Rattus norvegicus: one gene and its partner. The protein of the gene in region 2 interacts with the protein of the main gene of each other region in a biochemical or structural test. Links are inferred from orthologs where the notes say so. Each region holds a gene or a part of one and is shown on either strand. Other genes may lie near its edges.

The links.
Region 1: the proteins of Mylip (region 2) and Cnpy2 form a complex in vitro, tested with the Homo sapiens proteins (2 studies listed by BioGRID). The link is inferred for Rattus norvegicus from reciprocal best matches to the Homo sapiens genes MYLIP and CNPY2.

Annotation. Positions count from the first base shown.
Region 1 is NC_086025.1:1,331,871-1,336,442, reverse strand, and holds the start of Cnpy2 (protein canopy homolog 2 precursor), read right to left. Parts: upstream 2,968-4,572; 5' UTR 2,673-2,967; intron 2,109-2,672; 5' UTR 2,084-2,108; coding exon 1,996-2,083; intron 1,849-1,995; coding exon 1,733-1,848; intron 1-1,732. UniProt on the Homo sapiens protein: Positive regulator of neurite outgrowth by stabilizing myosin regulatory light chain (MRLC). It prevents MIR-mediated MRLC ubiquitination and its subsequent proteasomal degradation.
Region 2 is NC_086035.1:19,497,376-19,501,189, forward strand, and holds part of Mylip (E3 ubiquitin-protein ligase MYLIP), read right to left. Parts: intron 3,807-3,814; coding exon 3,621-3,806; intron 3,615-3,620; exon of another isoform or gene 2,884-3,614; intron 2,367-2,883; coding exon 2,169-2,366; intron 1,480-2,168; coding exon 1,315-1,479; intron 1-1,314. UniProt on the Homo sapiens protein: E3 ubiquitin-protein ligase that mediates ubiquitination and subsequent proteasomal degradation of myosin regulatory light chain (MRLC), LDLR, VLDLR and LRP8. Activity depends on E2 enzymes of the UBE2D family.

The DNA of each region.
Region 1 (4,572 bases), on a different chromosome or scaffold from region 2:
CCAAAACCAAACAAAGAAAAATGTAAAAAGGCAGTACAGACTTCAATGGTAGCACACCAACAGCTTCATGGGAACCTTTCCTTGAAGGGACTGGAGAGATGTCTCAGTGTTTAGGAACACTAGCCACTATTCCAGGGTTCACACATGGCGGCTCACCATTGTTTTTAACTCCAGTTCAGAGGGATCTGGCACCCTCACAAAGACATGCATTCTAGCAAAACACCAATCCACATAAAGTAAAATAAATCATTAATTAAACTTTCTTGGCTGGAGAGACGGCTCAGCAGTTAAGAGCACGGACTGCTCTTCCAAAGCTCCTGACCACATGGTGGCTCACAACCGTCTGTAATGAGACATGATGCCCTCCTCTGGTGTGTCTGAAGACAGCAACTATGTACTCATGTACATGAAATAAAATAAATCATTAAAAAAATAAATTTCCTTGCATATTACTTACTAGGTATAGCTTTAATTTATGCTTCTAGCAAATATAAATTTCTTGAATACAAAGACTTTTAATAAAATTATTTATTTATTGCTTGCCTGGTGGCCATAGACCCTGCAAGAGAATGTTAGATTACCCAGAAGGAGCTATGAGCCACTACATGGGTACTGGAATCTGAACCAAGTCCTCTGGAAGAGCAGCGTGTGCTCCTAATCACTGAGCCGTCTCTCTCCCGCCAAGGAAGACTGTGCAAGCAGGGATTCCAGGTGTGCACTAGTATGCTGCATTTATGGGATGCCAAGGACCAAAGCCACAGTCCTGTGCCTGCTAGGCTAGCACTCTATCAACTGAGCTACATTTCCAGCTGGACAAAACCTTTTGCTTTTTTTAAGCTTTTTTTTTTTTTTTTTTTTTTTTTTTTTTTTTTTTTTTTTTTAAGATTTACTTTATATGAGCACACTGTAGCTGTCTTCAGACACACCAGAAGAGAGCATCAGATCCCATTACACATGGTTGTGAGCCACCATGTGGTTGCTGGAAATTGAACTCCAGGACCTCTGGAAGAGCAGTCCCTCCAGCCCTCTTATCCTTTTTTAAATGAATGTGTATATACAATACTGCTATAGTGAATGAAACAAGGGTCATGTGAACTGGGGATGTGGGGGAAATGGACTAATCAATGCCTAATTTTTACAGCAGAAACAATTACTTGAGGCTTGGGCCAAGAAGTATGTGGTTATAACTGTCCAGGCTCTTCCAGACAGGCAGAGCCCAACTGCTCTGTTGATTGTGAGGCAGGGTCTCAACAAGTAGTCCAGGCTGGCCTTGAACTCCTGACCATCTTGTCTCTGTTTCCCAGTATTAGGACTACAGGCATGCAAATACTGTAACTGGCTTAGAGCCCAATCCTTCGGATACACAATGTTCTGGCTCCTTTGTTTTGTTTTGTTTTGTTTTGTTTGTTGGTTGGTTGGTTTTTCCAGATAGGGCTTCTCTCTATAACAGCCCTGGCTGTCTTGGAACTCTCTCTGTAAGCCAAGCTGGCTTCAAACTCAAGATTGGCCTGCCTCGGCCTCCCTAGTGCTGGGATTTACGATATGCTCTACCACACCTGGCTGTTTCTTTCCTTTTTGAAGACCGTACCAAATTCTATGGTCTACCCTTCTGGTTCAGCCTCTGAGGGGTGAGATTATCATAACAGATCGAATGACTTCCTGCTTCCTCCTCTTCCGATCTAAACCAAGCTCATACTTTGTGGACTACTTTACTTGAGGGATAGTAAGTTACCTCCACAACTGACTGGCTGCCATCTGGATTGATTCGGAAGGATCCCATCTGAATGGTCTTCTTGGGGTCCACGCGGGCAATTTCCCACTCTAATTCATCCACCAGAGCCCTGCAAGCTGGCGCCAGGAAGAGAATAGGGAGTGGGGATCGTGAGGGGATGGGTCAACCCAAGGGTTTCTATCCATCTTTGTTCCAAGCTTTGGATCTAATGACTCCCAAGGGTCGGCTTCCTCCCACTTCTTCACTGGTATTTGTGCTTTTACCTCCACAGTGTAGATCCTGGCTCCTTCGAGCCCAGGTAGTTCCCAGCAGGACCCCCAAAAGTAGGGCCAGCCAACCCCAGCCTTTCATCTTTAGCGGGACAGGGTCGCTCCACCTGGATTTGTGTGAAAATAAAGCACAGGTGTGAGGAGAGCGATCCATTCATTTTCCCCATGACTGCTACTACCCTTCATCCCAAGGCCTTCAAAGGCCTCGGTATGATTGACTCTATTATCCAGGAGAAGACCACGTTACAAACACCGAGGGACCAGGGTTCGGGATGTGGGGATAGGAGCTCAGAACCGGGATTCAGCTCCAGAAACTATGTCCTCCACAGGTGAAGGCCTGGATGTTGATACATTAGCACTGGACACTGAGGGCTCACAGAGCTATGCAGTAGTTTTGAGATGGAGGATATTGATTACGCGAGGATGACCGGCACAAAGGGGCTGCCAGCAAGGAGCCATTAGTCAGGCCACGAAGCCAGTCAGCGAAGACACTCCATAACCAGGGCCTATGTGGACCTAGCACTAAAGGTTCCAGAATCCCTATCTCCAGAATGTAAGTAGTTCCCGTGCAGACAGACCAGACCCTTTTGTAAGGACTCCGCCATTGCTTTGCTCGGGTCCATTCCCAACCTCAGTGCGCCCACAGCCTCTGACGCTCGCATCTGTCCCACCTCTGCTCCCACGGCCGCCGCCGTGGCCCAGGCACTGGAAAGCAGCCGGACTCTCACTTTGGCTCCCAACCCTAGCAGCTGGCTGGAAAGAACGGGGCTGTCCGGGCTTCTCCAGAGCGCTCCGGCGCTCGCCAGGTTCAGGGTGGCCAGTGACCGCCTGGCCCAGCACCCCGTACCTAACCAGGAACCTAAGCGGAGATCTGAAGGTCCCGTGCGAGCCTCCACGAAAATGACCCTAAGCCAGCCCCTCCAAACTCTCGCGCGAGCAGGCAGCTTTAGGGGCGCCTCCGAGGCAGCGAGGACCCCTTGAAAGGCTTGAGGACCCAGACTTGCGTGGCGAGTCGGTTCACGTGACCACCCAAAGAACAAAGGTAGCTTAGCCTACTGTGAGGATCGAACTCAAGTGATGCATGGGGGATACTGCATCAGTCCAGGTAGGCTAGGACTTGCAAGCAGATGCGATTAGTAGTTGTAGAGAAAACTAGCTTTCAATGCACAAAGCTCGTGTGACACAGCAAACTACATTTCCCAGGAAGCATTGCAGTAGCTACACTCTGACAGTAGCTACAGGTCTTTTTCTTTAAAAAAACAAACACAAACAAACAAAAAAACCAGTTACTTCCTTCTTGTGCCAAATTAGTAAATTATCGGCATTAGGTATATATTAGGAAAAATCATTTTTGGTATTATCTGCGTTTTCAGGCAGGTTCTTGGATATTTCTCGAATTTATCCTCTGAGGATGGGTGTGTGTGCTATGTTGAGTTGAGTATTATTAGCTCTCAGGCTGTGAATAGGGCAGTTCCCCTCTGGTTCCCAGGACAGCGCTGGTACTCTCATGAGTGAAGCAGTGTCTTGCTATGTAGCCCAGGGTTCCTTGAACTCATATGCCCGCCTCTGGCTGAATGGGAATTGTGTTTCTCAGCTGTTCAGCTGTTAGGATAATAGGCTGATACCATGCCTATCTCCACAGGTCTTAAGATAAACTAGGATTTGTGATCGCTTTACGTATTTAGGGTGCTAGGCGACTACAGCAAATACCGAACACTGTCCAGGGGATCCTCCTGGATCCATTCATCTTGGGACTGCAGAACCTTCATTTCTTTTTTCTTTTTTTTTTTTTTTAAGATTTATTTATATATGTATGTGAGCACACTGTCACTGTCTTCAGGCACACCAGAAGAGGGCATCAGATCCCATTACAGATGGTTGTGAGCCACCATGTGGTTGCTGGGAATTGAACTCAGGACCTCTGGAAGAGCAGTGCTCTTAACCACTGAGCCATCTCTCCAGCCCAGAACCTTCATTTCTAAGTCTGGATATAACAGTTCATTTTTTCCTTGTTTGGTGAATTTAAAGAAAGGAAGACAGGGGGTTGGGGATTTAGCTCAGTGGTAGAGCACTTGCCTAGCAAGCGCAAGGCCCTGGGTTCGGTCCCCAGCTCCGAAAAAAAGAAAAAAGAAAAAAAAAAAAAAAAAAAAAGAAAGGAAGACAGAAGCCAAAGAATCCCACACTAGCGGTTTTCTAATGAGATAAAAATATTTTTTATTTTATAAAACATGCTGTTTTAAGCAAATTTTTTAAAAAATAAAATGAAACTCCAGATAGAATGTATGGAAGACAGATACTTCTCAGATGTGATCAGGAATGAAGCCAGTAGATCAGCTTCCTCCACACTGGTTTGATTGGCCCATGGAGACTCTACAAGCTGGTCCACCCAGCCACTGTTTGTCAAGCAGCTGGATGCTTGAACTGTCTGGATCTCGGTACCCTGTGACTGTCCAGGACTTCATTTCCCTAGCTGGCTGAGCTGAGAGTCTGGGTAGAGCTCTTGTGTAGAGGATGAGTTACCCAGGATCTATTACCAAGGGCAGTCACTGCACCTGGGTCCCTTAGGCTTTG
Region 2 (3,814 bases):
GGTCCTTCTGCTTGTCGGGATTACAGTTCTATGCCACCATGCCTGGCTTAAAAGACATTCAATATTACTGCTGCTCTTTTCTTGAGACAAGATCTCACTATGTAGGTCCTGAAACTCACCATGAAGAACACCATGGCTTTTAACTCACAGAGACCCACCTGCCTCTGTCTCTGGAGTGCAGTGATTAAAGACATATGCCGCCAAACCCAGCTTTTTTTTTTTTTTCCCACTTGAGATAAGGTCTCACGTGACACAGGCTGTTCTTGAACTATGCTGCCAAGGATGTCTTGGAACTTCGAGATCCTCCTCGTTCTACAACCCCTAGTGCTGCTGGGATTATAGACACGTATGTGTACTGTGCTCAGCTCATGTGGGCTTCATGCACGTTAGGCAAGCATTCCATGGACGGAGCCAGTTACTATTCTTTTGTGCATGTCTGAGGGTAACTTTCCATTTCATATGCTCAGTAGCTCAGCGACTTTACCCCAGGGGTCTCCAAATACTTTCAAGGAAGCAGCTGTAGACATGGAGATGTGACATCCCAGCTCCCCAGGGCTGTGAGCTGCCACCCAGCAGCTTGTGCAAGCAAAGGGACATTTGTTCTTTGAAGTCGTGGCTTTCATGTTAAGCGTGTCTACACATTTTCTGTTCTGCTCTGTAGTCTATTTTAACACAAAACATTTGAAGGTTTCCTACCGACTACAGTTTTGGCTTTAATTTTTTCAAAGTCTGAGCCTAATCACAACTCAGCTTGAAAAGTCCCCTCCAGAGTCTCCAATGTTATTTAAAAATCTTCCCCGTGACCAGGTATAGTGGTCCACATAGGCAATCCCAGCAGTCAGGAAGCCAAGACTAGAGGATTGCATTTGAGCTTGAAGTCAGCCTGAGGTGTATAGCGAATTTCAGGTAAGCTTTGGACACACAGTGAGACTTGGTCTCAAAAAACACCAAGTAAAATTAACTTAATAAGTATCCTGAGTGTTTGAAGGGTAAGAGCTCAGGACAGGGTGGTTCTCAGCAGGGAGGGACCTGTGCCACTGTTCTGGGAAAGGATGAAGCCTTAACAGAACAGGGCCAACCACTGGGTCATGCTGGGAGGTGGCTTGGAAGGAGATACAGTGAGAGATGGGCAGGAGACTGTAAGTGAAGCACAGGCATGCCCATTCTGTGCTGAGAAGGGTTCCACCAGCTCGACAAATTGAGGTACTCAGAGTAGCTATTCTCTCCCATTCTGTACAAGACTTGTGGACTCAAGGCTAGGAGAAGTCACAGAACCCTGCCAGTCGCCCAAACGAGACACAGGGTGGTACGCGCCTGTAGAATGCATGTGTTTCCGTGATAGCTCGGTAGAGCCCACTGGCAGCTCGGGTGCTGATCATTTTAAACAGGAGCACGATGCTGTTACCGGACTCCTTGGTGACGGTCAAGTAGACATTCTTTCCTGACTGGGTGGCCATCTGCACCACAGGATAAGCTATCCTGAAAGGCAGGAGGAGAAAAATGAGCAAGTTTGGAAGGGAGAGCTCAGCATGGTGCTGACACCTTTAGTTAGGTAGCCCATGACCAGGTGGGGAGCCAGACACTCAGCCTGGGGAGTTCTGTCATGAGGCCAACTACTTATGCTAAGCAGGACCAGCAGCTGTGGGGTGGAAACAAGTGCTGGAGTAACCGTGTGTGTGTGTGTGTGTGTGTGTGTGTGTGTGTGTGTGTGTATGTGTGTGTGTGTGTGCGCGCGTGTGCATGTGCATACACACATGTGTGCATGTATATGTGTGCATGTATGTCTGTGCATATACATGTGTGCATGTATGCAGAAGCAGACGGGTATTTATGGACTGAGCAGCTACTGAAATATAGTCATAGTCATTCTGGCACTCTAGTGGACTTAAGAGTACTTTTGTTTTGGTTCTTTTTTTCGGAGCTGGGGACCGAACCCAGGGCCTTGCGCAGACTTAAGAGTACTTAAGAAATAATTAGTTAGGACTTGAATGCAATTAATTGAACAAGTTAGAAAATGAATCACTTTATTCATAGAGGTTGTCCGGTGAATTTCTGTCCATTTTCTATTTTCAGCAAAAGCAAAGAGTAGACATACATGCTTGGGATTGTATGAATGTGTGTATGCATATATGCAGTATTCATGAATGTATATTGAAGACTTGAGTTACCTGTTAATAGGGCTAAAGTCCTCTTTACAAATTGAGATGCCTTCAGGTCCGACCCCAATGAGGAGTTTCTGTCCTTCGCTGTCCCTCACGGCATGCCACTCTATGCCGTAGTTCTCCATTGCTGACACAATCTGCAGAACTTGGTATTCTGCAGAAGCCTGGCTGATGCCCTCCAGCTCCTTATGCTTCCCAACAATGCTGTGGGGCACCCAACAGTACATGATTAGACAGATCAATTTATGCATTCCATAAAGCTTGGAATTTTCACAAGTGAATTATAAGGATCTGGTCATTTAGGAATCACAAAAGCACCAAATGGCATTTTACTATTTCCTTTACTAATCAAATTTACTGTAAAATACTTCCAAGACATGGCTTGGGATCTCAACAATGGGGCCAGTAAGATTGCTCAATGGGTAAGGGTGCTTGCTTCAAGCTTGAATTTGATCTCTGGGACACACAGGGTAGAAGGAAAGAGCTCACTCCCACCAGCTGTCTTACACACACACACACACACACACACACACACACACACACACTTTTAAAAAGATCTCAAGAAGTATTGAGAAGTCATTTGAGAATACTGAAAGAATTATGGAAAATCTCTAAACATACACATAAGACAAACATGTAGGCCAGATCACCTCATATGTTTATCTATATAGACTTCACAAGCTTCCTGATTGGCAAGCGCCACAGGAACTGATTAGATTACCTGCAACTGAAGAAAACATAGCTCTGTATTCTGTGCTGTGGCAGGGGCTGTCTCTCCTGCGGTCTTTGGTGATCTGGCCTCCCAGTGTAACCTTCCCTTGAGTGTGCTCTGAATTAATGACTGGATTCCAGTGAACAAAAATGGTGGAAGACCTGGCACGAAGCTCACTTCTGGGGTTGAGTCATGGGGGTCTGATTTCTTTCCTGGCTCTTGTCTCTTCCTCTTGGATCATTCACCAGCTACCACCATGAAAGAGCCCTGAGGTCAGGTGGCACAAGGAGGAGGCTGGCAAGAAGGCATCTGAGCCCGGAGGCCTCCCTAGTTGGGATTTTAGTTGCCCTGCCCAAGCACCATCAGATAATGCCTGTTGTTTAAATAGGGTAACTGAGCCAGCTGCCTAAATTAGGCCGCCTGCTGTAAGTCTTGCCTGGATGAGGCAAACACCAATAAACATGCTAGACTTTTATTGTAGGAGATTTGCATATTTAAAAGGTCAGGCACTTTGGAGACCCTTGTTACTTATGGCATTTCATAAAAGGGCATTTATCTGTGTGGGCAGTTTTGTGTTGGTAAGTTTCTCAAGTAAAAGGCACATGAATCTTCTGGAAATGACTGGATAAACCTGGTGATGGCCCGGGCTCTGCCTCCCGAAGTCCATCACGACAGCACGGGGGCCAGTTTCCTGATTCCTATCAAGCTGGTGGGTGTGAACAAGCATGCTCCTCCGGCGGCCTCACCTGTTCAATGTGGAGCTGGAGAGCTCTTTCTCACACAGGTCCTCATAGCTGTATTGGGCAGTGTTCTGGTTGTAGTCTCCGAATTTGGTCTGGGCCAGGAGGGCACTAAGTTCCACTGCCTGCTCTGGGGAACACTGGAGGTGGCCTGCCAAGAGGGACTCTTTAATGTGCAAGAAAAAGATATGCCTGCAAGA